3 linked regions of the Medicago truncatula genome follow. The main gene of each other region encodes a partner of the protein of the gene in region 3 in a complex. Links are inferred from orthologs where the notes say so. Each region holds a gene or a part of one and is shown on either strand. Other genes may lie near its edges.

What was found. The genes of interacting proteins can lie anywhere in the genome.
Region 1: serine/arginine-rich splicing factor SR45 (region 3) and serine/arginine-rich splicing factor RSZ21 share a complex: the UniProt entries of both Arabidopsis thaliana proteins name them as parts of the spliceosome. The link is inferred for Medicago truncatula from reciprocal best matches to the Arabidopsis thaliana genes SR45 and RSZ21.
Region 2: serine/arginine-rich splicing factor SR45 (region 3) and U1 small nuclear ribonucleoprotein 70 kDa share a complex: the UniProt entries of both Arabidopsis thaliana proteins name them as parts of the spliceosome. The link is inferred for Medicago truncatula from reciprocal best matches to the Arabidopsis thaliana genes SR45 and U1-70K.

Annotation. Positions count from the first base shown.
Region 1 is NC_053049.1:29,284,820-29,295,751, reverse strand, and holds serine/arginine-rich splicing factor RSZ21, read right to left. Parts: upstream 4,449-10,932; 5' UTR 4,312-4,448; exon of another isoform or gene 4,290-4,311; intron 4,196-4,289; 5' UTR 4,185-4,195; coding exon 4,096-4,184; intron 3,295-4,095; coding exon 3,206-3,294; intron 3,078-3,205; coding exon 2,834-3,077; intron 1,849-2,833; coding exon 1,723-1,848; intron 1,607-1,722; coding exon 1,600-1,606; 3' UTR 107-1,599; downstream 1-106. UniProt on the Arabidopsis thaliana protein: Probably involved in intron recognition and spliceosome assembly.
Region 2 is NC_053049.1:35,601,879-35,612,231, forward strand, and holds the start of U1 small nuclear ribonucleoprotein 70 kDa, read right to left. Parts: upstream 4,449-10,353; 5' UTR 4,277-4,448; coding exon 4,187-4,276; intron 4,011-4,186; coding exon 3,896-4,010; intron 3,789-3,895; coding exon 3,709-3,788; intron 3,046-3,708; coding exon 2,970-3,045; intron 2,850-2,969; coding exon 2,785-2,849; intron 2,704-2,784; coding exon 2,641-2,703; intron 1,168-2,640; coding exon 1,086-1,167; intron 995-1,085; coding exon 832-994; intron 133-831; coding exon 64-132; intron 1-63. UniProt on the Arabidopsis thaliana protein: Mediates the splicing of pre-mRNA by binding to the loop I region of U1-snRNA.
Region 3 is NC_053043.1:34,991,726-35,002,418, reverse strand, and holds the start of serine/arginine-rich splicing factor SR45, read left to right. Parts: upstream 1-6,425; 5' UTR 6,426-6,531; coding exon 6,532-6,722; intron 6,723-7,187; coding exon 7,188-7,268; intron 7,269-8,787; coding exon 8,788-8,876; intron 8,877-9,228; coding exon 9,229-9,275; intron 9,276-9,359; coding exon 9,360-9,440; intron 9,441-9,536; coding exon 9,537-9,696; intron 9,697-9,791; coding exon 9,792-10,029; intron 10,030-10,107; coding exon 10,108-10,182; intron 10,183-10,285; coding exon 10,286-10,402; intron 10,403-10,693. Other genes in the region: protein NARROW LEAF 1, read left to right, coding at 1,999-2,487, 2,577-2,720, 3,624-3,864, 3,962-4,462, 5,078-5,514. UniProt on the Arabidopsis thaliana protein: Involved in 5' and 3' splicing site selection of introns, and may bridge the 5' and 3' components of the spliceosome. Isoform 1 is required during flower petal development and isoform 2 is involved in root growth.

The DNA.
Region 1 (10,932 bases), on a different chromosome or scaffold from region 3:
CTATTGCATTTTGGTACCAGAAAAAAAAAAAAAAAAAAATGGCATGTTGAACAGTTTTGAGAAAATGATTTTTTTTTCTTTCTAAAACTTCATCAAGAAGAATAAATAAAGCATGAAAATAGAAATAAACTAATCCAATCACATTATTCCTTACATAAATAACTGATCAGACCAAATTTAGCGTGGCACACATGATGCTTGATTTCATTAAAATACAGTCAGCAAAGAAAAACAAATCAATAGACCGTAAGCTCTCAAATTTCAACCATCCAGCATAATAACAGACGATATTAAGCAAACCAGAAGCACAGATGGAAAACAACTAGTGACATTGATCCCAGTAGCTAAAGGTGATAGCTAAAAAACTCTACTGTAGAAGCTTGTGAAGGCCAGTAAGGAAGCTGAAACTAGTTAAGGTCAGAGCGGTGATGCAAGACGCTAGGCGAGTGCGCATTAGTTAAACAGAACCAACCTTACTGATCCCACACAACAAAGATGCCGATCATTGCAGTCCCAAGAGTTTACCATGGAGAATAAAGACAAAACAAGGGACGAATATTCTAATTGACATGAAAACATATAGAAGCGCCAACCATCTATTTAACCACACGGAATGGTGAAGTTATTCACTTGGCAAATCTCAGTCAATTGGATTTCAAGAAGATGCAGCAAGTCGGTATCTATATTTTATCTATCCACCATTCAACTTCACCAATTCAAAAGGAGGATGAGCAAAAATGCAAGACATTTCAAGTGTGCGTGTTTAGTTAAATAGAATCAACCTTTTTGATTCCACAAATCCAAGATGTCGGTCATTGCAGCCCCAATACCATGGAAACTACAGACGTAACAAGGAGAAACATTGCAATCAACATGCAAACGTTTGGAACCAGCAATCATCAATTTAACCACACAGAATGGCGAGAAGCAGACACTACATGCAGTTAGTTACTAATCAAATTCCAATTTTGATTCGATTTCATGGAGGTGCAGCAAGTCAATAAATTCTATCTATCCATCTTTAAACTTGTCCAATTCAAAAGGAGGATGAAACTGTAGCATTCATCGAGAGTCAACAAAAAAAGGTCATAAGCAACTTCCTGATATTGCAGTTTTAGTCAACTTATATGCAGAAGCAACAAGATGAGAGGTTTGTGGAGGCATGCAGCACAAAAGCAGACAAGATGTACTAAGTGGTGAAACAATGCTGTTTTGGCCGATACCCACACTTCAAAACAGACAAACATCAACATTTTAGGATCCTTATTAATGACAATATATCAAAAAACACCATAGTGGATTAGCAAGACTAAAAAACAAAAAATCACCACAATATATATATATAAAGTAGGGAAGACTGGAGCGACCTTCAGGTTTTAGTAAGCTGAAGAGAGACAACCGACGCAAAACAGTGTCCAAGGCACCCTTTTGCGGCTACAACACTTAGCAATCCAAGTTCATAGTAATACCCATTCCATTGTCATGACATAACATAATTAACATGTATGTTGTATGCTCACCCAATCCTAGAGAAACTAGACTATAGCAGAGAGGGCTCCACAACAATTATTCATCATTTGCTCTGTTCACAATCAGATCTTAATCTCTGGAAAAAAGAAAAGGGAAGATTTAAAATATGGGTAATAAGTTCTCAATTCTCATGCCATTCATTAACTCAAATCACATCATCAGAGAAACTGAGTTGAACATAATCAATCGTACCCGTTGGCATAAGGTGAATCACGGCGAGAATAACGGTATGGAGGAGGGGATCTGCTGTAGCTACGACCACGAGGAGGTGTTATGCTACGTCGTCTTGGAGATCTTCTCCCACGCGGGCTATAACTCCTGATAAAATGAAGCGAACCCAAATGAAAACAAAACATGAGAAGATGAATATATCAATAAAAGAATGGTTGCTACAAAATGACATGTTTGAGATGCTTATTATAATGCACTTACAAATTGTACAGTGGAAATGAGGAATTTCAAATATTATGAATGTTGTCAATTTGACATTGAGATCTTTTCCAGCCACTCAGTGGTTAAGTTGAATTTATTTTAGTTAATGATTTATGAATATCCTTTCCAGGCTGAGTGAGAGGACAGGCTAAGAATGTTATAAATCATTGCAGTTAAATTTTCCCAAGCAGAGAGAAATTTCAATTAAATAAATGATGTGAAATGGTGATACAAATTGACAATTAAATAGAGCTTGCAATAAAGAAGTCAACAAATCTACCAAATTAACAAGGAATAAAAGGCAAACTATGAAGTACATAAAATGAGAAGTGTTATAAGTTGGGGATGGATGATCATGTCGGAAAGCTAAAAATCTGCCATATCCGCCATAAAACGCCACCATCCTTCACAATCTTCCCCGGGCGTTTGTCAAAAAATACACTACCGCAATCCGGCATGGCCAACATTTGACAACGCTAAAAATGAGAACCGAAAAAGTGTTGTCCCCAACATAATTTGCAGAACAATCACAAGCAAGCACCTCAGCAAAGATATTGAATTTCATTCGAATAGAGGCGAAAGATATGAAAAATATAAAAATAAAAAAGATATGATGCACGCCGTTGATTATTTCACCAACTTCAAGCAGGTTATGGATTGTGTTAACATTTTCTAAACAAATTCCTGTTCCCATATCAGTGCGTAAAAGTACAGTTTTGCAATCAATGTATCAAAGATATTTGCATTCCTTAACAATGACGTCCAATCCAAACTCTAACAAAATAAAAAGCTAAAAGCTTGCTAATTGAAAAAGTTGCTATTGAAATGCAGAATTTTTTGGATTCATATAAAGCGTGTGCACATAACATACCTGCGATCATAACCATAATTTGGACTTCCACGGCGCCGATAATAAGGACTAGGACTTCGTCTCCTTCCATTTCCTAGGCCTCGTGAACCACCGCGTGAACGGCACTCCCGAGCAAAGTGTCCAGGTTCACCACATTCATAGCATTTGAGGTCATCCCCTCCGCGTCCACCACGCCCACCACCACGGCCTCCTCCTCCTCCACTCTTAGAATTATGAGAAAGCTCTACACGCCAGCCATTTTTTCCTATACGACATTCATACATTATGATAACCCCAAATCTCAATATGATGCATAAAAAGAAGAAAGACAAATGCTAATCACCAACAACATACACTCAACAATGATGACAAATTGACAAATAGGAAACTTACCATCCAATTCATGAATTGCATCAAGGGCGTCCCTCCGATCATCAAACTCGATAAATGCATATCCTGGTGGTCTGCGAGCCACCCAGACACTGTATTGCAAAAAACAATAATTAAAATTTAAGACTTTAAATCAATAATAATGGAACAAATTATGAAAAATGTGTAACACAAACAAAATGAAAACTAAGTTCATGAACAAAACCTATATCAATATTGTTAATCACAACGCTGGCCTTACCATAAAGCAACTAAAGCAATGGCTTTAGGCCTCTAATTTGCATTAATATTTAGCCTATAAATCTAGACCTCCAAATAATTTGTATATATTTTTTATCTACAACATATTTTAGTGTTCTCCTATTAGAACATAATTAATGGTGTAGCAGCGGTAAAGTACTCTTTCTTCAGCCGAATGATCGCAGGATCGAACCTGCCATTTTCATTTTGGGAGTTCACATTCCTCACATTTTTTGGAAAAAAGAACATTAATTAAAATAACTAAATAAGAAAATATCTACTGTTGCAGTAGGATCAAACCCGTGGCGCCATCTATCCTAGACAAAATCTTAACCAATGAACCGTTATTATGCCTTCTTTGAATTTACTTCAATTATCCATTCTCTTTACTCTCACTTAATTAGTTTCTCCCATAAAAATGTTCATGCAGACAATAACGAACTAATTATTGATAAATAAATAAATAACTATAAAAAAATAAAAATAAAAAAAATAAAAAAAACAAATTTACAAATAATTATCAACTTGACGTAAATAATTAACTGATAACTCAATCATTAACCACAATTTCAATGTAATCATTCCTAAACTGAAAATATTTCTATCAATTCAAATAAATTTTCTTTGTTGAATGAGAGTGAAGAAGAAATTACCTGCGAAGAACACCATACACACGAAATTCATCTTCAAGTTCCCTCTCAGTGACTCGAGGGTCCAAATTCCCAATATAAACCCTAGCCATTCTCTCAAAACCTGTACAAAATTATTATTGTGAAAACGAAAAAGTTACTAATCATCACCCAAAAAAAAAACGAAAAATTTGAGAAGAAAATGTACGAAATTTTACAGTTTGGGAAATCAGAGATCACCTGCAAGTGAAAGAATTGTACAGAATTCTCTATGATCGTGAGTGAGCGTGTTAAGTCCCTAGAATTTCTAATGCTTCAAACGATGGCGTTTTGGGCTTATTAGTTTTAGTTGGGTATTCTAATAATTTGCTTTTAAACCCCCTTCTTACTTTCTTCACTTTTGGGCTAGATATTTAAAATACAACACCAAAGTGTCTCGAATATGATATAATATATTTATAGATATCAAATTTTTAACATCAACTTCAAGAACACAAAACCATCACAAAAAATTTTAAGGCTTAATTAGTTTTGATCCCACTATTTTTAGTTATTCGCAAAATTAATCCCCCAATTTTAAAATCACTCGATTTTAGTCACTTTATTCTATTTTTAGACTAAAAAAATTGTGATGGTGAATTGACATAGTTTGAATTACGTGTCATATGATGTGACAATAAGAATGACCACTATAAGTTCAAAACTATGTAAAAGAGATCTAAACTGAATGATTTTAAAATGGGAGGACAAATCTCATGAGTGAGTAAAAATAAGGGGGACTAAAACTGTAATTAAGTCAAATTATAAATTGTGAGTCTGTGTGTTAAAGAATATAGTGGAATGTGAGAGTTTTAAAAATAATATTTAAAAAACGGTCTCTATTTAAGTTTTGTCATTGTAATGTCCCTTATTTGTGTCCATTTTTTTACCTGGTCAAACTCGGTCACTTGCATTTGGAGCGAGACAGGTTTTATACACCCTTAGTTTGGACGAGGTAATTGAATATACTCCCTCCGTCCCAAATTGTATGTCGTTTTAGGGAAAAAATTTATCCCAAATTATATGTCGCTTTACAATATCAATGCAACATTAATGTTACTTTTCCTATTATAACCTTAATTATTTATTACTCTCTCTTCTTTCAATTCTTTCATTTATCTTTCCCATATTATTTATTAAGGATAATTTTGTAAAACAACTCATAATATCTTTTTTCCACACTATTAATTGCATTTCTTAATATGTGTGAAATGCCCAAAACGTCATACAATTTGATACGGAGGGAGTATTAGAGAAATTAAAATTCTATGTAATTCAAATCATTCGATGGCATTGTCTTCACTTTTAAATGTTTTTATTTGGATAGAGTAATAAATCGAAAAATAGAGGTCAATTTGATGGTAACTGAGAAACATTATAAATAGTACATTTATTGTGCTCATTGTTCAAGGCAAATTTAAAGCATGATCTCTTTGTGCTTTGAAGTGGTTTAAACATCAAAATTGCTTCAACCGGAACTAGATTTAGTCTTGAAAACCATATCGTCTTCTAAAATAACTATATAATGATGCAGGATTTTATAATCACTACAAAGTAAAAGCAATAGATATGAAATAGATAATGGGGCACAATGAGTCTTACCAATATAACTACCATAAGAATACGAAGCTATGATGGTAGGACACACCATTTGTATCTTGAAGGAGAGCAAATGATAATTTAGAGTTACCTCATCCTTAAGTAATGATTTCTTACAACACTAGAAAGGATTGGATTTGGAATTGTTCTTTATAGTTATGAACTCCAATATTCCAAAGCAAATCTTTTATAAATTACATATTTTCTAAATCAAATCAAATATAAAACTCTCAACAATCAAAACAAATCTAGCTAAACATTAAGGAGAAAAATAAACTTGATCACAAGTCTATGTGGATTGATATTTTTATCACGATGATAAATTCGTGCATTTGCGAACGTATCATACTTCTGCAGACAGACGTCCTTCTTGAGTGATCCTTTTGATATGAATATTTAGACTTTGAGTGAGCATGTGTCATATGGTATCCACAGGCCGCAATAGAGCGTGCGATCCACCAAGCTTGTTTTGTCTTTGGAGAGATTCATTTATAAGGTTGGAATTGTATGCGTTCATGAACTAACATGCAAAATAGCCAAAATTAAAGAAGGGACATGGATTTTGTTTCTTCAAAATGTGCCCTTGGTTTTTTTAATTTGCCATTATTATTATTTTCATTGCATCTTTGTTTTAATCTACTTAATTATAAAATCATAGAACAATCTATGCATAAGCATTATAAATTTCGACAAGCTTGCTTGGTTTAGGTGGCAGTTGCTCAATTTGAGAAAGGTATGTGTTAATTCGATAAACTTTTGTGCTTGTTCGCCGTTTTCTTTTCGGTTGCGGTGAATTAGTGTTTGTCGGGTAGATCTATAACGCCTATATGCGGCATCTTTGTATTGTTTTTCCTGCCGTCTCTTTACGTCTTGCGAGAATTTCAATTTTATTAAATTTTACCGATTAAAAAAAAAAGTTATTATTCACGTTCTCATGAAACTTAGAGAAACTAGAGGCGTTTCTCTGTTTAACGTTGTTAATGTTGACTTTAACAAAAGAAGATGGAAGATAATTGCTTTTCTTAAGTCTTCAATAACATTAACTTAGTATGCCTAGTAAGATCACTAGTTGTGAAGGGATTGTCTGACTATTTATTTCTAGTGTGAATCTAGACCCTCTGTTGAAAATTCATTTGTGGAATTTTTTTGAGATCAACAAAATGATCGACATCAAGTGGTTAATGATCTTCTGTTAATGATGAATTGTTTGAAAGAGTCTGAGTCTAAACCCTTGCAAGAACAAAATTTTGTCGGAGCTTACCTACTTCTTAACTGAATTTAGGATTATAACTCCTTCCTTTAGAACTTGGAGAGTTAAAACAAAAAGAAAAGAGTTGATTTGGTATCCCGATTTTAATGAATGAAATGAATTGTCCAATTATCAGTGGACCAGATATGAGATGATTATAAATGGGATTGTATCGGTGATCATGTCTTTATTTCTATCTGTCGTGAGTCAAACATGAAATCTCATTTCACGTGAACTTTAAAAAGTGAACTTTTTGTTCAAAAACATTATTAGGAAACCAAATAGATGCCATATCAGATGGTAACATATACATGTAGTTCTGTCCAAACAAAATATGCACGTGGAGTAATGTGGTTTGACACATTCAAGATAATCTAATTGTAGATTGAGATCAAACGGTTCAGATTCTTAATTTAATATTTTTTTTATTATTTTAAAAAATAAAATGCATATTAAAATATAGATCGTTCGTTCTTTGTTTAAGAACCAAATAGTAATGCAGGTGCTAAAAGAAACTAAAGAAACATGCTTTGAGTAATTATCCAAATAGTAATGCCGCTCTCGAATTAAAAATGAAAGTATGCTACAGTAACCATGTTCCTTTCGTGATACATTCGTGAATTGTTTTTTGTTTGAAGTAGCATTTCACAAATCTAAAAGGTAAAGACCTTATGTTAACAAATAACAACTTAATGCTATTAATTTTCAATATGAACACGAAAAGCTAATATATATAAGTCACTGAAAAGAAAACCACAAAATCACATTCATTTGTTTATAACATTGAGTTTTGAATTTCAACAAAGTCATTATATAGCGTATGTTTGTTTCAGCTTTAAAAAAATAGATTTTATGTTAAAAGAATTTAGGTATTTTTTTAGAAATTTTAAAAAAAATCTTTAAGTTATTTTTGTTTGCCTACTATCCATAAAAATTCATTTAAAAAAAAAAAGAGTTTTAACTTGTACATGTCTTACCTCCTTGTTTTTGAAAAATAATAAATTTTGAAAAAAGTTAATCCTAATAAATTTTCATTTTAGGGTCAAAATAGAATTATTTTTCTAAAAATCCTAAACAAACATTTAAAAATGAAAAAAGTGATTTTTTTTTATTTTTTAAAATTCAACGGGGCCATACTCCATATAAGTATGAACAATCTTCATGACCGGTATAAGATTTTTTATGCCCCGGGTGAATAAATCAAGTTGTGCCCTTTTAATTATTTGAATGTTTTTCTTATTAAATTTTTTGTTGCAAAGGACTCGTTTATAATCAATGTTCTCTAATAATATATTTCAATATAATTAATCAAAGTGAGTTAAAACAAAATATATTTTTATATTGTACGAACTAATATATTTTAATATAATTAGTGCCCCTAGAAAAATGGTGTCATAGGCCGTCGTCCCTCTTGCTCACCTTCAGAGCCACCCGCGACAAGTGTGTACTTTCTCATGAATTATATCTAAACAAATTTTGTATTTTCGTCATTTTGTAAACCTCTTCGTCGTAAGACGTGTCTACTTTTCAAAACAAAATCAACAAATACGTAGAAAACTAATAAGTCGGCCATAACTTTCTCAATTTAGGTTTTCTCTTCTATTTCTTGCATGGAAGGGGTGATTTTGAGTTAATTTGTGACCCGAAATCACCACTCTTCATCATTTTCTCTCAATTTCAACCGAAATAAGTTATTTCCACAAAGATCTAGATTCATTTTCTTTGTGATTTGGTCGTTTGAGTGCAGCGTTGTGTTGTTCAGTGTTCATTATGTTCTTATTGAAATATCGGCGATTTAATCAATTATTTGAGTGTCAACATTGCAGATTGATATATATGGGTATTCCAGTCACTTTTAATTGGTGTTATATGTTATTAATTTGAACATTGCGAGTTTGTTCACAGATTCATCATTTCCATCGTGATATACTCTATTTATTGAAATGAATAAATATCATTTTTTTTCTTCTTTTCAAAATAAATAAATAAGTAGAGCACTTTCTGCCAATGTGTTGATCCTAGAAGATGTATTCATTTCCATGTTGCTCAATAATTGCTTTATTTTTATTATTGCGATTTGGAGAAGAAGAAAATGAAACACTTGAATTCTCTCACAAGTAGAGCACTTTCTGCCAATGTCTAGATATTCACCCCATAATTAGATGATTGTCAAAACTTCATGTCACGTTAACGTTTTTATTTTGTACATGTTACGTAAACTTTTAATTGACCTACCGTTGTTGTTGCCGTTTCATGAGAAGAATCCACTGACATAAATCGCTCTAATTATGTGGCCAAAAGTAAACGTTTTATTACATGCCAAACAAAATCAGACGTAGGGCATAGCCGCATAAAACAGTACTTTTCAAGACGGTAATGGTTTTGATTTTGATGTAATAAAGGCTAAGGATTTTCGTTCAATTCTTTAGTTTTCTTTTGACTTGTGTTTCTGCATTATTGTGATTGAGGGAGCCCCCTAATTTAGTTTGTGCTTTGAATCAACCTCCTAGTGACATGTCCAACTTTGGGATGCTTATTGATATCATTCATAATTTAAGTCTTTTGTTTCATTTCTTTAGGATCAAGAGTGGACTTTGTCGAGAGTCCCACATCGGTTAGAAGTTGGCCTGATAATTTGTCTATAAGTGGGGGCAATCCTCACCACACAAGCCGGTTTTGTGGGGTTGTGTTAGGCCCAACCACAATTTCTATTATGGTATTAGAGCCTGTCGAATTCAAGGGCCACCTACCGATTCACGCACCAAGCTCAAAGAGTGTTGCTGGACGGAGGCAATCCTCACTTTATGAACCAATTTTTAAGATGAGTTAGGCCTCCAATTTCTTAAAAACAACTACCAAAGTTACTTGGATGCCGCTGAGGATGCATGGTGGCTGCTCACCTGCAAGCACTCAAACACTCAAGTTGAGTTTAACTGAATAAAAAACATGTATCTCTTACTAGAGTGATGAGTGTCTTTTATAGATGACGTGTAATGGACTATAAATCCTAAACACTAACGTGATTGTGATATTTTTGACGTAAATCCCATATCAGAGGGTTATGATTCAATCTGACGTGAATCCCATATAAGAGTCCATAGTGTTGGATTTTGGACCGATGAGCAAGGTCTTTTGGGAACTCGATAGCAAGGGAAAATGTTATAGTTCTAAAAGGTGTGTGGTCATTGGCCATTTGGAACTGTTCTTGATAAATTGGATCATTGAGTTTGTGGCAGATTCAGGTTTTAGTCTGGTTCAACGACAATACATTGGTACCTATGAAACACAGACATGACATAGGACATAATAAGATACCGACATGCTAATACCGATAATAATTTTAAAAAATAAAATAATTTATTAATTATAGGTGTCGTGTCGGTGTTGGACACACGTGTCCGACATCTGAACACATCTAAATTAAAGAGTATTTGTGCTTCATAGATTGGAATTGATTTTTATTTTTTTTAAATAAATTGTGTATCCAATTTGATTGGTGATTACTATTTGATTGTATCACATGTGACATGTCATTTGTGAGAGAAGTACTAATCTAACTATATATATATTGAGTTTGGAAAAATAAAGAGTTTTGTCATTACAAGAAATTCATCATATAAGCAAAAACCGTTGGTATAGGTAGTAAAACCCTATAGCAACGGGCACTTCGTACCGAATAACAGCAAAATACCCGACTCAATAGGTTATATATACCAACGGAAATTGTATGGCGTTGGAGAAAATTCTGATGTTATAACAACGACTGTTACACCTATTTAATAGCTTTATCCCTTGGTATAGGACCATATTATCAGTTGGAAAAGGTCCATATTATCTGTTGCTATAGGCAATTTTTTTCATTTTTATTTTACAAATTAAAATTTTTACAAAATAAAATTTGGCAATAATTCTTGACCATAAAAATAATATATCTGACAATACTTTTTATATGCACCACACAATTTTTTTTTGGT
Region 2 (10,353 bases), on a different chromosome or scaffold from region 3:
AAAATCCACTATTGTCAAGAAACCAATTAGCTAGTTAAATTGAAGCAGAAACCAAATTATTACCGATCAGCATGTCGCTCCTCCCGTACTCTGGGTTCTTCGGAACGAGAAGGTCCTGATTGCTGTTGCTCCCTGAATAAATCAAGACATATCAGAATTTCCCCTCGATGTTACAGAGTAAGCATCCAACAAATTAATTACACACAACATTCGATAAGACATATTCAGAATATGAAAATTTGAATTTAGGGTGCTGCTCATGAGTTGAGCAAACCAATGCCATCATGAACCAAAAATGTTAATGCAAACAATTCTTGATGCAAAAAGTTTCAAATTCAATGTGAATTTACTGCTTCAGAATTTGGAGTAGGATGGTTGGGTTTGGAGAAGATAGACGGGTATGAGCCAGATATTTCCAACAGATGAACATAATATTGACAAATTTACATGTACAGCGAACTTGATAAATGTTAACTAAATTCCAAACACCAGAACCATACAATTGTCAGGTCCACCCAGGTGAGGAAATAATTGTTGCAAACATCTCAAATTCGCAGTCAATTACAACACAAATATGCATATCATAGAACAAGGTCATTTAAAAATGTTTTCGGTTTTCAAATTTAGTTGTAATAATTCCTCGGGTTTAAAATAAGTAATAAAAGAAATTTATGAAGCAGCGACACAAACACATCAACGCCGGTAAAAATTTGAGAAAAATGATTTAATTTAATGTAAACAGTGTAGGTGTCGAACAACAAACTCGCCTTCAATTTGAAGTGTCAATACAACTGAGAATAAAATCCTATTAAAAAAAATAATAATAATTACCTTCCTGAATGTCGCTGATTAACTTCATCGCCCCCCACTCTAGTAGTACCAAGCCCACCACCTAGACGGCGGGGTCGCCAATTTGGAACAGTTCTCCCACGTTCAACATCCACAAGCACCCTCCTACCCTCAATTTTCCTACCATCAGCTTGTTTATAAGCAGCTGCATAATTAACGATAAATATGACTTCAGCAAAATGTTATATAAGTATATATAGTAATAATCAGACATATGTTAATAAATCACTATCAACCTTTCATGTCTCTTGTGTGCAGGTATTCAATGAATGCATAACCCCTGGGCTTATTTGACTCAGCATCAGTAACCAGCCGAACCTAAATCATAAGAAAATGGAAGGGAAAAAAAAAAAAGCATAGTCAGAAGAGAACATTCTGGTAATCAGCTCAAAAGAAAATAACACAAGATGATCTCTCATATTCTCACTTCAGAACCAATAAAATACCAACACTAATATCCTAAATGGCACGGCAGACAGGCTCTATGCCTAATTAGCCGTGCTCACCTTTAAATCATACAGCTCCCATCGTGAGATGCATCACCACCGGCAATAGTTGCAGAAAAACTGATGTATTTGGCCCAATTAACCAGGTGTTGACTAGTGTCCCCTTACCAGGGATATTAATTTTTAAAATTGATAAAATGGAAACAACTCTGGGTAATATAGAAAATACCATAACATCTTCTCAACAGCTGATTTTGTTTTGATAGCCTTTAAAGCCAAAAATAAAGTTATAGCAACATCAAATGTAGGCTAACTAAGAATTTAATAAAAAAGGGAAGAGATTGAAATACACCCAACATATTTTACCCAGTGCAGGAAAAGAACAGAAGTTGTCAGTCTCCTTTACTTGATCGAAAACAAGGCCAAAGGCACAATTTTGCATATTGTTCTTACCAACTAAAATACCATGCAGGAGGAAGCACTTGAATGGAATTTGGGTTTTATTGTTATAGAATCAACCATTACCAGGGATGTGGATCGAGATAATCAACCATTACCAGGGACGTATATTAAGATGATAAACCATTACCAGGTGTTTGTGTCAAGGGGGGAGCTACAAACACTCTTTCTAACACTCTTTAATACCCACTCTCTTATTGGATGAAATTCATGTAAGTACCACACTTTGGAAATGGGTCCGACATAAAGTGGTGAGGCCCACATGAGTTTCACGCAATAGGAGACTCTGATCGAGAGTGTGTTAGAAAGAGTGTTTCTAGCATTTCTCGTGTCAAGATGTTAAATTTGCAGTTAAAAATTTCTAGAGACCCAAAGCCCCAAGATATCCCATCCATATTATATTAACAATTGGAATGGAGCAAAGTGGAAAATGACAAAAGAAAATAAATAAAAAGCAATCAACAACAAATTGGTGGAGCAACCAAAAGCATTGATTATTACCATTTCAAAACCACTAAAATTGACAAATTAAATCAGGAACGTTCGTATTCTATACCCTTGAAACTTCGGATAGGATGAGATAGATATTACACATAGCAGACTGATTTCCTGATAAGCTATTTAGTCATGAAAACCTCTCAAGTCACAAAAAACATTTTCTTCAGTGGCAAAAGGAAAGGTATAAAGATTGTATTATGCTCAAATAGCTAGTATTTTGTTTTCTGCGATACATCACTGTATATGGAAATTGTTGAATTTGAAAATAATACAGTTTGAAGGCTCAAAAGTTGTAAAGATGTCAAAAAGAAGTAAAATAGAGTAAGTTTTGAACCACACATAGATGATAAGCTTACCGAACCCTTTTGAACATATTCAAAATACCTACCCGTTTGATTGCACCATATGACTCAAACTCCCTTTTGATTCTGCTCTCAGTAGTCTCATAACTCTGTTGGAAGATGGAATCAATAAGATATGACAAGCAATATGAAAAAGCACAGTAGTTACTCTATTGGAAAATATAACTTACAAGTCTGGCCACGAATAAAGTCTTGTATGGATCTCCTGATATATTTGGATCGTTGTGTGGATCATCTACATTGAAACATATAGAAAAATATTCAGATAACATAATCCACAAAAATCAACAAATATTCAGATAACATAATCCACAAAAATCAACAAATTTAAAACAGTATATATAAGAGTCATCACATTTCTCAAGCTCCTCAGCAGCTTTTGCAGCTCCCTTCTCCAGTCTTAACTTGTGCACTCTTGCCCTTCTTTCTGCCTGAGTATACCAAAATGGATCAGCGATTATGCCTTTATTATACTCTTCACTATTGAAACAAGGGCTTTGGCATTTAAACTACTTTACTGCTTTTATATGCCAATTGCTACATTAACTATACATTATAATAACCACTTGTTTAAGTAAATTGAAGAAAAACTGGAACCTGGTAAAGACTGAATATGCAATAGTAATTGTATTTTTCAACTAATATGTTGAGTACCCAAACTATCTATTTGTTATTCATGACCACAACATTGATTCGGATATTTTCTTAGAACGAATTAGTACCGTAGAAAAAAGCAGGCGCAATGAGTCAAATTTAGCCAGTTAAACATTGTGCTTGCACAATATTACACAGTAAAACTTAACTACAGAATATAGCAGCAACAAAACACTTCTGAGGACAAATATTTTTTTGCAAACTAATAATTAGTTAACTTAACTGTTTTCTTAAGGACATCTTCTAAAAAGCATAATAAACTTTAAAAGATATATGAAAAAATAAATATACTAAAAAAAATATAAACTCATTGCATCAAATCAACCCACCAAAGACATGCCCGACAAAAAAAAAAAAAAACACTCAGTTACGAAACTATGCTTAACACAATTAAAACTAATAATTCCAGCATGATTAGTATCAAAAGAACAGAACATTACAGGAGTTTCAACTACTGGCACAGGCGGAGAATATTCCGGTTCACCAGGTTCAGCAAATTTGCTCACAAATTGCGCCATCCCTAAACAAAAAAACATAAAACGAAGGATTAATTGCATAATTAACTATAATTAACATCAATTCACAACAAATGATCATGTAGACCTAACAAAAACAATAATCAAACACCTGTTAACGGAGGACATTTTCGTTTCTCCGGTGGAGGTTTATACTCCAACGGCGGCCTAGGTTCAAATAGCTTCAACAAATTCGCAGTCAATCCAGTTGGATGACTCTGTCCAATCTGCATCAAATCAATTACAATCAAATCAAATTAATCAACAAAAATTAACTAATCTAATATCTAGGGTTACGAACAATAAACCCTAACTATTGAAAATCAACAACAACTTCGTTAATTATGAAGAAACTTAGGTCAAATTAACAACGAAAAGTGAGGGAAAGAGTATGAATCTATACCAGTTTGAGTTGAAGGACGTTGGCGCGGTTCTGAGCTTTGGTACGAGCTTGAACGGCGGCGTTTTGGTTGCGCAGAAGAGGATCTTCCATGGTGAAGATTCGATGAAATCACGAGAGAATTGAATTGATGAGATCGTTAGATCCGGTTTGCGTCTCGGCTATGAGCGAGCGCTAGCTGAATCTCGAACCTGACTGCTACTGAGAAGTATTTATAGTGAGGGGAGGAAAAGTACGCTTTTTAAGCATAACATAAGTCTGTTTTGGAGGTGTTTGAAGAGTCACAAAGGGCTAATAAAGATTTAGGCTTAAATATTTTTTGGTCCTTTATTTTGAAGTTTATATTGGTCTCTTATTAAAAAAAAAATATAGAAAGATCTTTTAATTTGTTTAATTGGGTATCGTGTTAGTCTTTTTCATGCGAATTCATGGTTTTGAAGTATGAGATTTATGTGAATTTGTGTTGGATCTATTCTCTATATCATTGTTCAACAATTTCAAAAAGGAATAATGATGATAAATCTCGTGATTTTGACATTTTTGCTCATACAGAAAGAATATTGACGTCAATCTCTAATTTGGAGTGAAGAATAGGGGGATATATCATATATGGGTTCCAATGAACCTTAATTTTGATTTATAGGAGAATTGATAAAGTAGGAAGAATGAGATGTTAACTTACATGGTCATGTACACTGCAATTAACGTTGTTGGCCTTTGATGGATGAAAAGGACCTATTTGCGCATTTTTTAAATAAGGGACCAATATGAATGTCAAAATAAAGATAAAGGATCAAAAGGGTGTTTAAGCCTAAGCTTTACTATAAGTGAATAGGTATTTTCATCCTTGAATTTGCACACATCGTTCAATTTCGTCTTCAAATTATTTGAAATAACGAAAATTTTCCTAAATTTTGCGAACGTCATGCCTCCGTCAAATCTCACCGTTAACAGTGATGACATATAACGTTAAGCACTAACGTGAATTGCAAACTCAAATGTCATGTATTCGATGAGGAAATTGATTGAAATTGTGAATTCCTTTTTTTTTTCCTTATTGAAATAAAAGTCATTACAAATTGTTGCAATGTCAAATCGATCCCTAAATTATTCATTGAAAATCAAGATCGTCCTTGAATTATGTCACTCGCTATCAAATTGACTTCTAAAGTATTCATGTTAACTATCAAACTGATCTCTGATACTCGCAAATAAATGCTAAAAATTAAAATAATATGTTTAACGGTTATTTATTACCTTTTGCATATTTGAAATGAAGTTTCATCCATGTTGAACGTAGCATCAAAGGTCGTCAGGCAACAGTGTTGAAAACCAATTCAAATTATTTGTTTTCGCTAGTTTACCATAAAAAAAATAGACAATTTAAATTTACCATAAAGAAAATAGACAATGAAGTAGAAACTAGGACCTTTTTAAATTTGCATACACATTGCACGTAAAGTATCCATTGATTATCTAATACAATTTTATGTTTTGTTTGTATTTACTTCCATGGGTAACACATTATTGCATGCCCTATCGCAAACGGTCAACGTGTCTTCTTCTCTTGCTGTTAGCCACAATTTCAAATGAAGAGTTCTTTCATCTCATTATTGTGCCACCAAATCCCTAACTGCCACTCAACCACCAGGACTGGAACTTCTTTAAGGCTTTCGTATGCAAATTTACATTTATAATAGCATATATTTGTGGATATAGAAAACAAAGAGAATTTGAAGTGGTTTTCCACACTTTTGCATGAATAAATTGGAGGTTACGCTGAACATGAATGAAACTTCATGTCAAACATTCAAAAGGTAATAAATAACAATTAAACACGTTTTTTTAGTTTTTAGTATTTATTCGTTGACAATATTTGGAATCAATTTGATAGTTAAGATAAATAATTTAATGGTAAACTGAAAGCTTATGGTAACAATACAACAGACAATGAGTCTCACAAGAAATCAAACGACGAGACAACAAAAGAAGTGTTTGTCATTGAAGATGCAAATGTTGAGGAATATCACAAAAATCCTTATGAGTTAATGTTTTAATGATAACAAACTTAATTAAACATAAGATCAAAGATGGTTCTTATATGTTTTGGTTTCTTACAAGTTTCTTTGAGTGTTCTTTATAACATAACTGGAGAGTTTTGCATCTCTATATTAAAATTCATTTATAGTAAACATATTTTGTTTTGCATTGGTGCTTATATATAGAACAATTATGGTGGGATACGAAAAACTTCAATCTCATGTTTAGATACTTGTGTTGGGATTTCTTTAAAGTACAAAATATTTTTTTTAAGAACTAAGGTGCTCCAACTATTCATACACCTTAACAAATAATGTTAAGTATACTATAACAAAAGAAATGTTGCAATCTAAGCATTTATATACTAGAACATACGAGAAATAAAAAATACTAAACAATAATGACCGGTTGCAAATGAGGTGAATTAGGTATAAAGGAAATTTTACTCTTAACATATTATTTACCATTATAAGCAACATAACTATTTTTTTAAGAAGTGTACATAACTCAAACGAGACGGATGTAGGAGATCAAAATCTTGATCTATAGTTGTTCATAAAACATAAATGTGAAACAATCACAACATTTGTAATACAATCTACATGTAACATTAATGAGTAATGAACTATTTTTATAATTTTTTTTTATCTCTAATTCAAAAAATAAACAAACTTGTGTAATGCTAAAGTACATACTACATACAAAAATATTAAATAATTAATGAATAAAATTAGTTTGTATTAAGTTGCACTGTGTAAATGTGAATCTCAAACACTCAAAAGTCCCCAACAGTGCTCCAAAACTAGCACGTTCATTCTCGTTTGTCAATAACAACACACTACACTTCTTATCAAGAATTGTTAATATTATTCTCTTTGATTTGATTTGATTCAGCTATATATGTATAAGAAGTGTTGCTTCATGTTTCTAGTGCTCACGGCTATCAAATTATTGACTTGACATTATTTGTTTTCTGAACTTTGTCATATCTGTATTGTAATAAGGCGTTGTCAATTTTTTTCACTATCAATTACTTGATCTCTCTCACAGGAAAATGCACAAGCTCAAAAATACCAAAACTAGTAAACTGATAGAGAAACATGGAAACCTCACAATTTGTGCAGTTCTAACTTCTAACTTATTAGCTTAATGGGATAAAGCAATATACACATGTCTATTCAAAAGCTAACATTTGCAGCTTTGAAAAAATCATGTTGAAATCACATATCAAAACGCAAGAGAAATAAAAATGGGCATGTAACTAAAAATATAAAACTAAAGATTTAACACTTTATCATCCTAAATTTACCTAGGAGAGTTAACTATGTTTTCAAACCCAATGGTGATTCATTCTGCAATAAGCATCAGTAATACAAGTAATATAAATAATGACAACTAAATCATTTTTGTCTACTTAGTAAAATAATCATTTACATAATGGTAAAACATTTTCTTTTATGGTTTTCTTTATGTTCAAAAAAATAAAGTTCCGATCATGTTTCTGTGAGCACACAATATAATTTTCATTTTTAAAAAATTCAACCTCAAGTTATAGATGGTCAACTACAAAACCATCGATGCTCATGAGAAAATTGTTGGAACTGAATCTCTTCAACAATTGCCTCAATCTCAACTGCAAATGTCAATATATCTTCATGAAATTCTCTCGCAAAATGTATTGAGATGGTTTGACTAGTTGGGGATATCATCTTATCCTCTAACAAACGGAGCACTTTCAACAAACAAATTATCTCAACAATCGACCTATCAGGTATTTCTATAGGTATACCTTGTTAATAATAATTATAAACAAAAAAGTAACAAATCAATAAATTTCTTAACTCAACTCGAGTTACAGTACATTTCACAAATTACAAAACTTGTTACATTTCCATAGAAAGTGGGAGATCGTGAATGCAATAGAAAAAGGACAAGAAAACATCGGCAACAACAGCTAGCACTAGTTCAATAATCTTCAGATCAGTCATCAGAAAAATCTTATGACTACTATTCTTAAGATCAGTCATCACTTTCAAATAAAAACCATTATTCGTAATGCTTTCAAATAAAAACTATTCTTCGTAATGAAGATTTAGTTTTCATGAGTTCGGTTGTCAATCAAAAATTAATCATAATTCACCGGTATTTTAGTGTTGTGTTCATTTATAGTAAACATATTTTGTTTTGCATTGGTGCTTATATATAGAACAATTATGGTGGGATACGAAAAACTTTAATCTCATGTTTAGATACTTGTGTTGGGATTTCTTTAAAGTACAAAATATTTTTTTTAAGAACTAAGGTGCTCCAACTATTCATACACCTTAACAAATAATGTTAAGTATACTATAACAAAACAAATGTTGCAATCTAAGCATTTATATACTACAACATACGAGAAATAAAAAATACTAAACAATAATGACCGGTTGCAAATGAGGAGAATTAGGTATAAAGGAAATTTTACTCTTAACATATTATTTACCATTATAAGCAACATAACTATTTTTTTAAGAAGTGTACATAACTCAAACGAGACGGATGTAGGAGATCAAAATCTTGATCTATAGTTGTTCATAAAACATAAATGTGAAACAATCACAACATTTGTAATACAATCTACATGTAACATTAATGAGTAATGAACTATTTTTATAATTTTTTTTATCTCTAATTCAAAAAATAAACTTGTGTAATGCTAAAGTACATACTACATACAAAAATATTAAATAATTAATGAATAAAATTAGTTTGTATTAAGTTGCACTGTGTAAATGTGAATCTCAAACACTCAAAAGTCCCCAACAGTGCTCCAAAACTAGGACGTTCATTCTCGTTTGTCAATAACAACACACCACACTTCTTATCAAGAATTGTCAATATTATTCTCTTTGATTTGATTTGATTCAGCTATATATGTATAAGAAGTGTTGCTTGATGTTTCTAGTGCTCACGGCTATCAAATTATTGACTTAACATTATTTGTTTTCTGAACTTTGTCATATCTGCATTGTAATAAGGCGTTGTCGGTTTTTTTCACTATCAATTACTTGATCCTTCTCACAGGAAAATGCAGAAGCTCAAAAATACCAAAACTAGTAAACTGATAGAGAAACATGGAAACCTCACAATTTGTGCAGTTCTAACTTCTAACTTATTAGCTTAATGGGACAAAGCAATATACACATGTCTATTCAAAAGCTAACATTTGCAGCTTTGAAAAAATCATGTTGAAATCACATATCAAAACGCAAGAGAAATAAAAATGGGCATGTAACCAAAAACATAAAACTAAAGATTTAACACTTTATCATCCTAAATTTACCTATGAGAGTTAACTATGTTTTCAAACCCAATGGTGATTCCTTCTGCAATAAGCATCAGTAATACAAAATAATGACAACTAAATCATTTTTGTCTACTTGAAAATTATACAATGGAACTCAGAAAATGCAATAAGCATCAGTAAAATAATCATTTACATAATGGTAAAACATTTTCTTTTATGGTTTTTTTATGTTCAAAACAATAAAGTTCCGATCATGTTTCCGTGACCACACAGTATAATTTTCATTTTTTAAAAATTCAACCTCAAGTTATAGATGGTCAACTACAAAACCATCGATGCTCATGAGAAAATTGTTGGAACTGAATCTCTTCAACAATTGCCCCAATCTCAACTGCAGATGTCAGTATATCTTCATGAAATTCTCTCCCAAAATGTATTGAGATAGTTTGACTAGTTGGGGATATCATCTTATCCTCTAACAAACGGTGCACTTTCAACAAACGAATTATCTCAACAATCGACCTATCAGGTATTTCTATAGGTATACCTTGTTAATAATTATAAACAAAAAAGTAATAAATCAATAAATTTCTTAACTCAACTTGAGTTACAGTACATTTCACAAATTACAAAACTTGTTACATTTTCATAGAAAGTTGGAGATCGTGAATGCAATAGGAAAAGGGCCAGAAAACATCGGCAACAACAGCTAGCACTAGTTCAATAATCTTCAGATCAGTCATCAGAAAAATCTTATGACTACAATTCTTAAGATCAATCATCACTTTCAAATAAAAACCATTCTTCGTAATGCTTTCAAATAAAAACTATTCTTCGTAAT
Region 3 (10,693 bases):
TAACTTTTGAAAATATAATTTAATTTTCAGAATTAAAAAAAAAAATGAATTTTCGTCAATTTAATTTTTAGTTTTTTTTTTGTTTTTTAAATTTATTTTCAGATTTTTTTAATTTAAAAAAAATGAATTTTCAGAATTTTGAAGAATTTTTTTTTTAATTTTCAGTTTTTTTTATGATTTTTATATTTATTTTCGGATTTTTTAATTTAAAAAATGAATTTTTAGAATTTTGAAAAAAAAAAATTTTTAATTATGTGGCATGACACGTCAGCGCCACGTGGCAAAAGTTGCACAGTCAGCAACTGCCACGTGGCCAAAAATGTTGCCACATCACCAGCGAAGTGGGGCCAGGGACCTTTTTAAAACAAAAAAAATTTTACAGGGATGTAATTAAAATTTTTTTTTTTACAGGGACGAAAATCAAAATTCGTCCAAATTACAGGGACGGTTTGCATATTTAAGCCAATAACCTATTATTATGCTCATTCCAAACTACCCAGATACAAAGGAGCCAAATTAATTGCATAAAAGATCAACGCTCCCTCAGACCACCACAATAGTTAGTAAACTGGACAAAATGATTATAAATACTATGATGGGCTACATCGAAAACACCTATCCAAGATCGAACCTGCTGCCAAAGAGAACTAGATATATCACACTGAAGAAACATATGCTGAGCTGTTTCGACCTGTCCACATCCCGCCAAACAAGATGTGCTTGCACCTGTGATAATGTCGCGGCCAAGAAGGTTGTTTTTTGTCGGCAACATGTCACGAAGTAAACACCACGCCAAGATATATAAAAATTGATTTATTTATGTTGAATTAATTAATAAATGTAAGTAATAAAATAAAAGAAAAAGAATAAACTAAAAACATGCAATCTGTCTCGACACCCCCAGCACAGACAGACAGACACTGAGCTGAGGTGACTTTACTTTACCACATTTCTATGCAACTTTGCATAGAAATTTCTGAAATTCAACTACAGTAAACTCCGTCCTCTCTCAATTCTCCATCTTCTCTACAGATTCTTCAAATGAACTCTGTATATCAATGAAGGAAGCTCTTCCACTTTCATCTTCACTCCTCAACCGACCACTAACACTGTGTATGTTCAAATCATGTTCTTTTTTCTGGCTTTTCATTTTGTTCATTTTTTTTGCTTTTTTACCTATCTGGGTCTTTTTGTCTACCTTCAAAATCTTAGCTTTTTGTTTTTTTTAATGTTAAACTGAAAAACCATAAATACAACAAGGATATGCCTTTTTGTGGTTTGTTGACCTTGATTTGTTCATGAGAGTAAACAAAATTGTTTTTTTTTTTTTTTTTGTGTGTGTGTGTGTGTGGATGAAATATTCTGAACTTGAGCCTCGTTGTTTTGCAATGTTTTTAACATGCTTGAAACTTAGTTTAGCTTGTTTAATTATATTTCTCATGGTAAATTGATTAATTTAATCACTTTCCATGTGCTTGAATATGACAATTAAATTGTATAAAATTAGGTTCTGTTCCCAATTCCATTGAGGGAATTATTCTTTATTTATTTTATCTATTTATTTTGTTCATTACTTGAACTGTATTGTTTTCTTAAAAGGATGTGTTAATTGCTTAACTTGATAAAAGAACGTTTTTTCTTAAATTGAGTGGGGAACATCATAATTATGCTCTACTTGGAGTGTATTTTTGTTGTTGTTGATGCAATGAGTTGCTCCTGAACCATTTTTTTTTTTTTGCATGCTTCTATTATTATTACTTCTTTAAAACAACCTTTATTTATAAATTAGTATAAGTTTATGTGTTGAATTTATCTCATGAGGTTCCCCTTTTTTTATAGTAACATGTTTCTTTTGTACTAAAATAATTTATAGTTCTTTTGCCATAAATTGATGTTATTTCTCACTGTCATGAGTTTTGAATTAAACTAAAGACTATATGTGCTAAATTGATGTTTTTTTGGGTTCAAAATAGAACATTGCTTTAGGTTAATCAAAAGATGGAGCGCCCAAGACTTAACTCGAGGGTTCGGTGCTCTGGTTCAACTCCCTCAGAAGAATCTGCTTTGGATCTTGAAAGGAATTGCTATGGTCATTCTAATCTACCTTCACTTAGTCCACCGACGCTACAACCTTTTGCTTCAGCTGGACAGCATGGTGAAAGCAATGCTGCTTACTTCTCATGGCCTAGCCGTTTGCCTGATGCTGCCGAAGAGAGAGCAAACTACTTTTTAAATCTACAAAAGGGGGTCCTACCTGAAACCCTTGGTCGTCTGCCGAAGGGGCAGCAGGCAACCACATTACTTGAGCTCATGACAATCAGAGCATTTCACAGCAAGATACTGCGTTGTTACAGCCTTGGAACAGCGATTGGTTTTCGTATTCGGAGAGGTGTATTGACAGATATTCCCGCCATTCTGGTGTTTGTTTCCAGGAAAGTTCACAAGCAATGGCTCAGCCCAATCCAGTGTCTTCCTACTGCCCTTGAGGTTCAGCTTTAACCTATATATATAGATATTTGTTGTGATCTCTAGTGTCTGCTGCTGCAGTTAAAATAGATGTTTAATTTGTGAATCAGGGGCCTGGTGGAGTATGGTGTGATGTAGATGTGGTGGAATTCTCATATTTTGGTGCACCTGAACCAGTTCCGAAAGAACAACACTATACAGAGATTGTGGATGACTTGCGTGGAGGTGATCCGTGCATTGGTTCAGGATCTCAGGTGTTTTTTTGCTCTCTTATTTAATGTTTCCTATGGAAACAAATCATCTGGTTTACAAAAGAATTTTTTTGATTTGATTAATATCGCATGCATGTGATGATTAAAGAAGCATTTTTAGCCTAATACTTGGCAATCTCTTCCACTAAAAAATCAGAGTGTAATTACTGCACTATTGTCCTTAATTTATATCATATTCATATGCTGTAGTGGTTTGTCCTAGGAAGCTTAGCCATGCCTACACGAGTCTAACGTTGCAGGTTGTGTATGCAAATTCAACAAAACATCTTTTGTCAAGATTCATTTAACTTGACATAACTAATAAGTGCATGGACTTGACCTTCTACGATAGACTCGTGGAGATATAGCTATTAGATTCATAATTTCTTTAAATTTTAGACCTTAGATTTCAAGCTTCATCGTGTTACATGCAGTATCTAGTGCTTCAATGAACCTGTTTTTATATCTTTACATGTTTTTAATTCTCATATGGTACCTGTAGACGGATGTCTATGCTACTAAACAATGGTTTTAGTATTTTAATTGGAACTAAACCTTAAATCTGGTTTCCAATGCCTTTTCTTTGGCAATCTCATTATGCGAATGTCATTGGCCAGACATTTCGGGATATTTTCTTTCAGCCTAATCTCTACCAGTTTATATTTCAAAATTTTCTGTCCTGAATAAACAACGAAAAATTTAGGGAGGCCAGAAATATAGATCTTGTGGTTTTATCGGGCTTGTCAAAAGAAGTCATTTGAGATATTTAAAGAGTGAAATTACAGGGTTTGCAAAATCTCTTGCGATTGCCAGCTTGCAGAGTTAATAGCAATATTTCTCATTCTCATTTTTCTGTTCTATTTGGTGAATATGTTCCACCTCTGACCACTTACTTCCTTGGTCTAGGTGGCAAGCCAGGAGACATACGGAACTTTGGGTGCCATTGTGAGGAGCCAAACAGGTAGCCGACAAGTTGGTTTTCTCACAAATCGTCATGTAGCAGTCGATTTAGATTATCCAAATCAAAAGATGTTTCATCCTCTTCCACCCACATTGGGACCCGGGGTTTATCTTGGGGCAGTAGAGAGAGCAACTTCATTTATAACTGATGAGCTCTGGTATGGAATATTTGCCGGAATAAACCCAGGTAACATAATTTCAAAAGTCTGATTGATTTAATCTGATTACTTGCATTATTTTCGCTACACATACTCATCACATATCATGATGTGTTTCCCCTCCAGAGACGTTCGTGAGAGCCGACGGAGCATTCATTCCTTTTGCTGATGACTTTGACATGTGCACTGTTACTACCTCAGTGAGAGGCGTTGGAGATATCGGTGATGTGAAAATTATTGACCTACAGTCTCCAATTAGTACCCTTATTGGAAAACAAGTAGTTAAGGTTGGAAGAAGTTCTGGCTTGACAACAGGAATTGTTTTGGCGTATGCCCTAGAGTACAATGATGAGAAGGGTATATGCTTTCTAACAGATTTTCTTGTTGTTGGTGAAAACCAACAAACTTTTGACCTTGAAGGAGATAGTGGAAGTCTCATAATGTTTAAAGGTGACAACGGTGAGAAGCCACGACCAATTGGGATCATATGGGGAGGGACTGCTAATAGGGGCCGCCTTAAGTTAAAAATTGGGCTACCTCCGGAGAATTGGACTAGTGGGGTTGATCTAGGACGTCTTCTTAATCTACTTGAACTTGATTTGATTACAAGTGATGAAGGACTTAGAGGTTTGTCTATCTTTCACTATCACTATCACTATCACCATCATCATCATCGTTATTTCAATTTATAATTCTCAAATACGGGGTTAGAACTTATATTAGGTTGTTGTTCTCATATATGAAATTGTGTTGATGCCTATAGGGCATAGGGTGGGTAATTGAATGAATTAATCTGATGATATGATTTGGTAGGGTAATAGTGTGTTTAGCTATGCATTGATCAGCTGTATTCTTAAATGTTTCAAAAACCAGATTGAACTGTCCAGTTCAAACGGGAACCGACAAGTTCGCTGGTTGGTTTGATCCCGGTTTTACCACAGTCTGGTTGAACCATAGTCAAACACAGTTTGATTCAACCACACACATTTTAAATTTATATTTTATTCATCATTTGGTTCAACCGTGATCTCTGGTTCGATTTTTAAAGCATTGTTTTCTTGTTAAAAACCAACTAGCATATAATCATTTTTTTTTTTAATTTACTATATTCCTATGTTTCTGTCTCCTAATAGTGAAGATAGCATTGAAAATGTTGAAAACAATTTTCTATCAACTGATCAGGATTATCTTAATGAAGTGAAACTAGAGGTTAAATTCTAAAATCAATATCTTTTTGTGTAGTGGCGGTGCAAGAACAAAGGACTGCATCGGCTACATTTATGGGCTCTATTGTTGGTGATTCCTCAACTCCTGATGGTATGCATCAGAAAGATAGAGTGGAAGACAAATTTGAGCCTCTTGGTCTTCAAATCCAGTCTATTCCCTTAGGAGTTGAACCTAACAGCCAGGAAATGAAACCATCAACCATGGAGGCTGAATTTAAATTAGAAGACGGAATCAAGGTAGGTGGTCCCAGTATTGAACATCAGTTCATTCCGAGTTTCATCGGGCGGTCACCGTTGCACAAACACACTGTGCATGACAAAGCTGCAGCAGCAGAGAATTTATCTTCATTGAGGAATGACTGTAATGAAGATTTATGTGTTTCGTTGCAGCTGGGTGATAATGAAGCAAAGAGAAGACGTTCTGAGGCATCTACTAGTACCGAGGAACCTTGATTAAACAAATTATTAGCTTAAGCTTGAAAAACTGACTTGTTATAACAGTTAATCACCCTGGAATGCGTTGTTTATGACCATTGGGAATTTGGGATACTGTATTTGTATGATTTAGCAGCTTTGACAGAGGCTAATGACAATGATATCAGTGGAACTCACAATATGAAGTTTTAAGTGAATTGTGGACAGAGGGCCATTCAAATCTTACTATGGTTTAATTTATGTTGTAAAGTTACTTTTCTCATTAACGTGTGCAGACTTTGCCAAGAATGTGATGGCTTAGAACTGACCTAAAATGTTTTTAGGCTTAAGGAAAGAATATGAATGCAAAAAGCAACCTCAAAAGTAGTCCTTTGTATTGAGCAAAAAAGGATTTGGCCTTCTAAATCATTCTTTCCGCCATTTTTTTTTAAACTTGGTATTTGGGTCTAAGGATATGCTAATTTGAAGGATAAACGTCGTAATGACTAACGAAACAATAAATGTTGACATCTAAAGTATTCAAACTTGAAACTCTTACATAAACACACTCGCATAATTATGAAAAAACATTCGTCCAAATTTATTCATTCAAATGAAAAATAATTATGATGTTATTCAATTTTTTTTTCTTTTGAAGTTAAATTAGCCCGCTAAATTAACACCGGAGATAATCCACTCTCATGTTTTTAAGTTAATACCACCAGCCTAACCCGAATGGAAAGGGGTGTAATTTTCAAGAAATAAGTGGAACTAAAAAGTAAGTCTCAAATTTTTATTTTAATTAATAAACTTGCTTGGTTATGATGATGGTTCCATGAATGAAATTAACCCATGAAACTCGGGTAAACCCGACCCATTCAAACTTCATCCTGACCCATAAAAAATGGGTAAAAATAAAATAAAATAAAACTAAAATCTGTATCGTTCATTCATTTTCTTTCTTTCTTTCTTCTTACCTCGATTCACTCCACACAAATCCAACACTTCACTACCAGCTAGGGTTTATAGAGGGTTTCACGCTCTCTCTCTTCAACAATGGCGAAACCTGGTCGAGCTCGTCGCTCACCACCATCAGGTTCCGTCTCCGGATCTTCTTCTCTCTCCTCCTCTTCCCGTTCCTCTTCTCGCTCCCGCTCCCGTTCCAGATCCTTCTCTTCCTCTTCTCGCTCTCCCTCCCGCAGTTCCAAGAGCCGTAGCCGTAGTCCTCCTCCTCCAAGACGCAAAAGGTACATCCATCCTTCGATTCAACTTTAATTCTTGCCAAATCGTTCAAATTTTGAACCATTAGAAAAATCGAAGTCAATTTGATTTTTTGCGTAGAAGAACATGCATGAAAATGTTCAAGATGAAAACAATTATGATTTTCAGATGTTAATTTGAGAATGTCATATTTTTCAGTTTTTAATTTTCAATTTTGAGTTCGGTTTAGGTTTTCAAATAGGAGAAGTTGGAAATGGAAATCTGCCCAGTTTTAAATTTTAGTCCAAATTATTGTTTTGATGAATATGATTTTGATCACTGTAATGTAAATGTGGTTAATTGGTGTACACTGTACATTATATTTTGAACTGTACGCACAAATCACGGTTCTTTTGGTTAAATATTTCGTGGGAGTAATTTCCATGTTGTTGATTTTAGTAAAGTTTATATTTTTCAGTTCATATTGATAGGGTAGTATTTTTGTTGTGTAGTTCTGCTGAACCAGCTAGGCGAGGTCGATCTCCTCCTCTTCCTCCACCTCCACAGTCTAAGAGACCTTCTCCTCCTCCAAGGTAAACTCATTTCAAATTTGCTATTTCAATCCAACTTTTTTCTAGGACACTTCTTGTATTTGTGTATGTCCCTCGTGGAGATGGAGACTGGGAGTTTTTATTACTAATCATATTTTTCATATGCCATATCTTGACGTTGGAGATATGAAATTATTCTTTCATTTTTGCTTTTTATATACTATATCTTAACTCTTGTTGAAGTTTAGCATGGTATGTCTTGTTAGGTAATAAGATACAAACTAGTAGTGGAAAACCGCAGTAGCCAATTTATATTGTCAACTGTTAACAGTCTACTATATATTGAGGTCATCACCGACTAAAGTGATATATGTAAGATGGCCAGGGATATGGATTATATACAAGGTTGTCAAAGTTGAGATTCTGCATAGGATTGGAAAAGGGGTAAAAGATTGTAAAACGTGAGATCACGAGACAAAGGATTGTAATATAAACATGATAACAAAATTATTTAATTAATAAGTATAGTAATATTTCTTTTAAAACTCAAGTCAGAATTTTGATGTTTATTTTGTAGTTATTGTATTGTTGAAATTTCTAAATTTATTTTATATTTGAATGTAATTATAAAAGAAGGGATATAATGGAACATTATAGCACAATTATAAAAAATCCTAGTCACATGTTAGCAAGAGATATAAGACTTAGATAGATCTTATAAAACTTAGGCAATCCTCATCTTACATGCTTGTTTTATGTCATTAAGTTGAATTTGCCCAAAATTTAAGATGGTATCTTAGATCTGATGTTCGACCACCGACTATATTGGCCACACTCCAAACTCAGTAGTGCTGAGCGAGGATGATGTGTATTAGAAAAACAGCGTCCGCCATTTACTAGAGATAGTGCTTCATAAGATCTTATGAAGTATGGACTCTCCACACTTTATAAATTAGTTTTGTGGGGTTGAGTTAGTGTTGGGTGGTAAAGAACCAGCACGAGAGTAAAATAAGTGTAGCGGAGATGAGAATGTTTCATTCAGAGAGAGAGAGAGAGAGAGAGGGAGGGAGGGAGGGAGGGAGGGAGGGAGGGAGAGGGGGAGGGAGAGGGAGGGAGAGAGAGAGGTGTAGCGGAGATGAGAATGTTTCATTGAATGTGTGGTATGAGTGGACATGATAGAATTAGAAATGACAATATGAGAGAGAGAGAGAGAGAGAGAGAGAGAGAGAGAGAGAGAGAGTAAAATAAGTGTAGCGGAGATGAGAATGTTTCATTGAATGTGTGGTATGAGTGGACATGATATATGTAGCGGACCCAATTTTCAAAATACTGAATATACATTGGTTAAGTTTGTTTTTATAATTTTCAGTGCGGACTTTTTTCATCATATCTTTAAGATGTGGTAAATTTGTTAGAATATTTTTTTATTTTTCATCTCACATTTTTAAATTTAATTAAACATGCTGTGATTGTGAGCCTTCTAAGTTCAACAATTGACAAGTTTTCTTTCGATTTGTAACTTCTATCTTTTGCTATGTTTACTTATCATGCTTCATCTCAGGAAACCTTCTCCTGTACGTGAGTCTCTTGTTCTCCACGTTGAGAAACTCAGCAGGAATGTCAATGAAGGCCATTTGAAAGAAATTTTCAGTAAGTTAAACTCTTTCACTTCTGCTTTCGTCTTCAACTGTGAATCGAGATACATTTTTCATTTGAAACCAGTGTCTCATGGTATTAGGATCCAAAATTTAAGCCCAATGCAATTTTTCTGTTTCTTTTATTTTAGTTTTGATCTTTTTGTCATTTATACTTCAATATAAGTATTCATATTATTAACTGGGAGCATAGTTGCTTCATATCTATGCATACACTCTTGAAATACCAATAATCGAGAGAAACTTTTTAGTAGCCTCTAGTAGCTTGTGTGTGTAATTGGAAGGGAACTTTTAGTGACCTTTATATCTTAAGGAGCTCATATCCTCTTTTGCTGACCTGTTTTCAGGTAATTTTGGCGAGGTTGTAAGTGTGGAGTTGGTGATGGATAGAGCTGTAAGTTTGCATTTAATTTGGCATCATAGTTCTAGAAGAATTTAGAGTCGTAGGTTTTTAAATTTCTTTTAAAAAACTTTCCAGGTTAATCTTCCAAAAGGATATGGATATGTGCATTTCAAGACAAGAGGGGAAGCTGAAAAAGCATTATTGTACATGGATGGTGTAGGTTGCTTTTGCCCGAGTTGGATTAATTTCCACAATCAAGCTTGTTGGCTGCCGCATTTGGAAATTGATGCCTTTGTTTTTTTTGTTATGCAGGCCCAAATAGATGGCAATGTTGTTAAGGCAAGATTTACTCTACCTCCAAGACAGAAAGCTTCACCACCCCCAAAAGCTGTTGCTCCAAAGAGAGATGCACCCAGGACTGATAATGCTGGTGCAGAAGTTGAAAAAGATGGGCCAAAGCGTCCAAGAGAATGTATATGCTTGATATTTGTTGAACATTTTTTTGTTTTATATTTATCATATTGGTGGTTTTTATATTGGTATTGAACTAATTATTCATGGTACCAGCTTCTCCTCGGAGAAAACCTCCTCCCTCACCACGAAGAAGATCTCCTGTGCCTCGAAGAGCTGGATCTCCAAGACGACCAGAATCTCCTCGCCGCCGTGCAGATTCTCCTGTTCGTCGTCGATTAGACTCTCCTTATCGTCGCGGAGCTGGAGACACACCTCCTAGGAGGAGACCTGTGTCTCCCGGAAGAGGTCGTTCTCCATCTCCACCACCAAGGCGCCTTAGATCCCCTGCAAGGTTGGCTTGTGATTGCATGCATGTTTTTCATATACAATTTCATTATACAGCCGACTCAATTAATTTTCATTTTTGTAGGGTATCACCTCGAAGGATGCGTGGAAGCCCAGGCCCAGGTCGGAGACGTTCTCCTCCTCCACCTCCAAGACGCCGGTAACCATATTTTGAGTGCTTATTTTCCTCGTTTATTGTTTTTCAATTTGCATTTTAACATGCCATTGATTGCTCATTGGAAAAATAAATGTTTTTTTTATAGTTCACCTCCTAGACGAGCCCGTAGTCCTCCTAGAAGATCTCCAGTTGGTCGTAGGCGTAGTCGCTCTCCAATACGTAGATCTGCACGCTCACGCTCAAGATCATTCTCACCTCGCAGGTAATTTTGTCTCATGCAATATCTCAGTTCTCTAAAATGATTTATTTTTTTTTAGCATAATAATATTTTGATAGAAGCATAAAATAAAGTGTTGTAAATGAGCATGTGAACATATGATGTTTGGACCCGAGGTGTTTTGTAGTTATCCAAAATTCGGCATTCCCTTGAATGGTCATGTATGTAATCCTTAGTGAAGATTTAATTGATGCTTATTATGTAGGACTGAATATTTTATATGATGTTTGGACCCGAGGTGTTTTGTAGTTATCCAAAATTCGACATTCCCTTGAA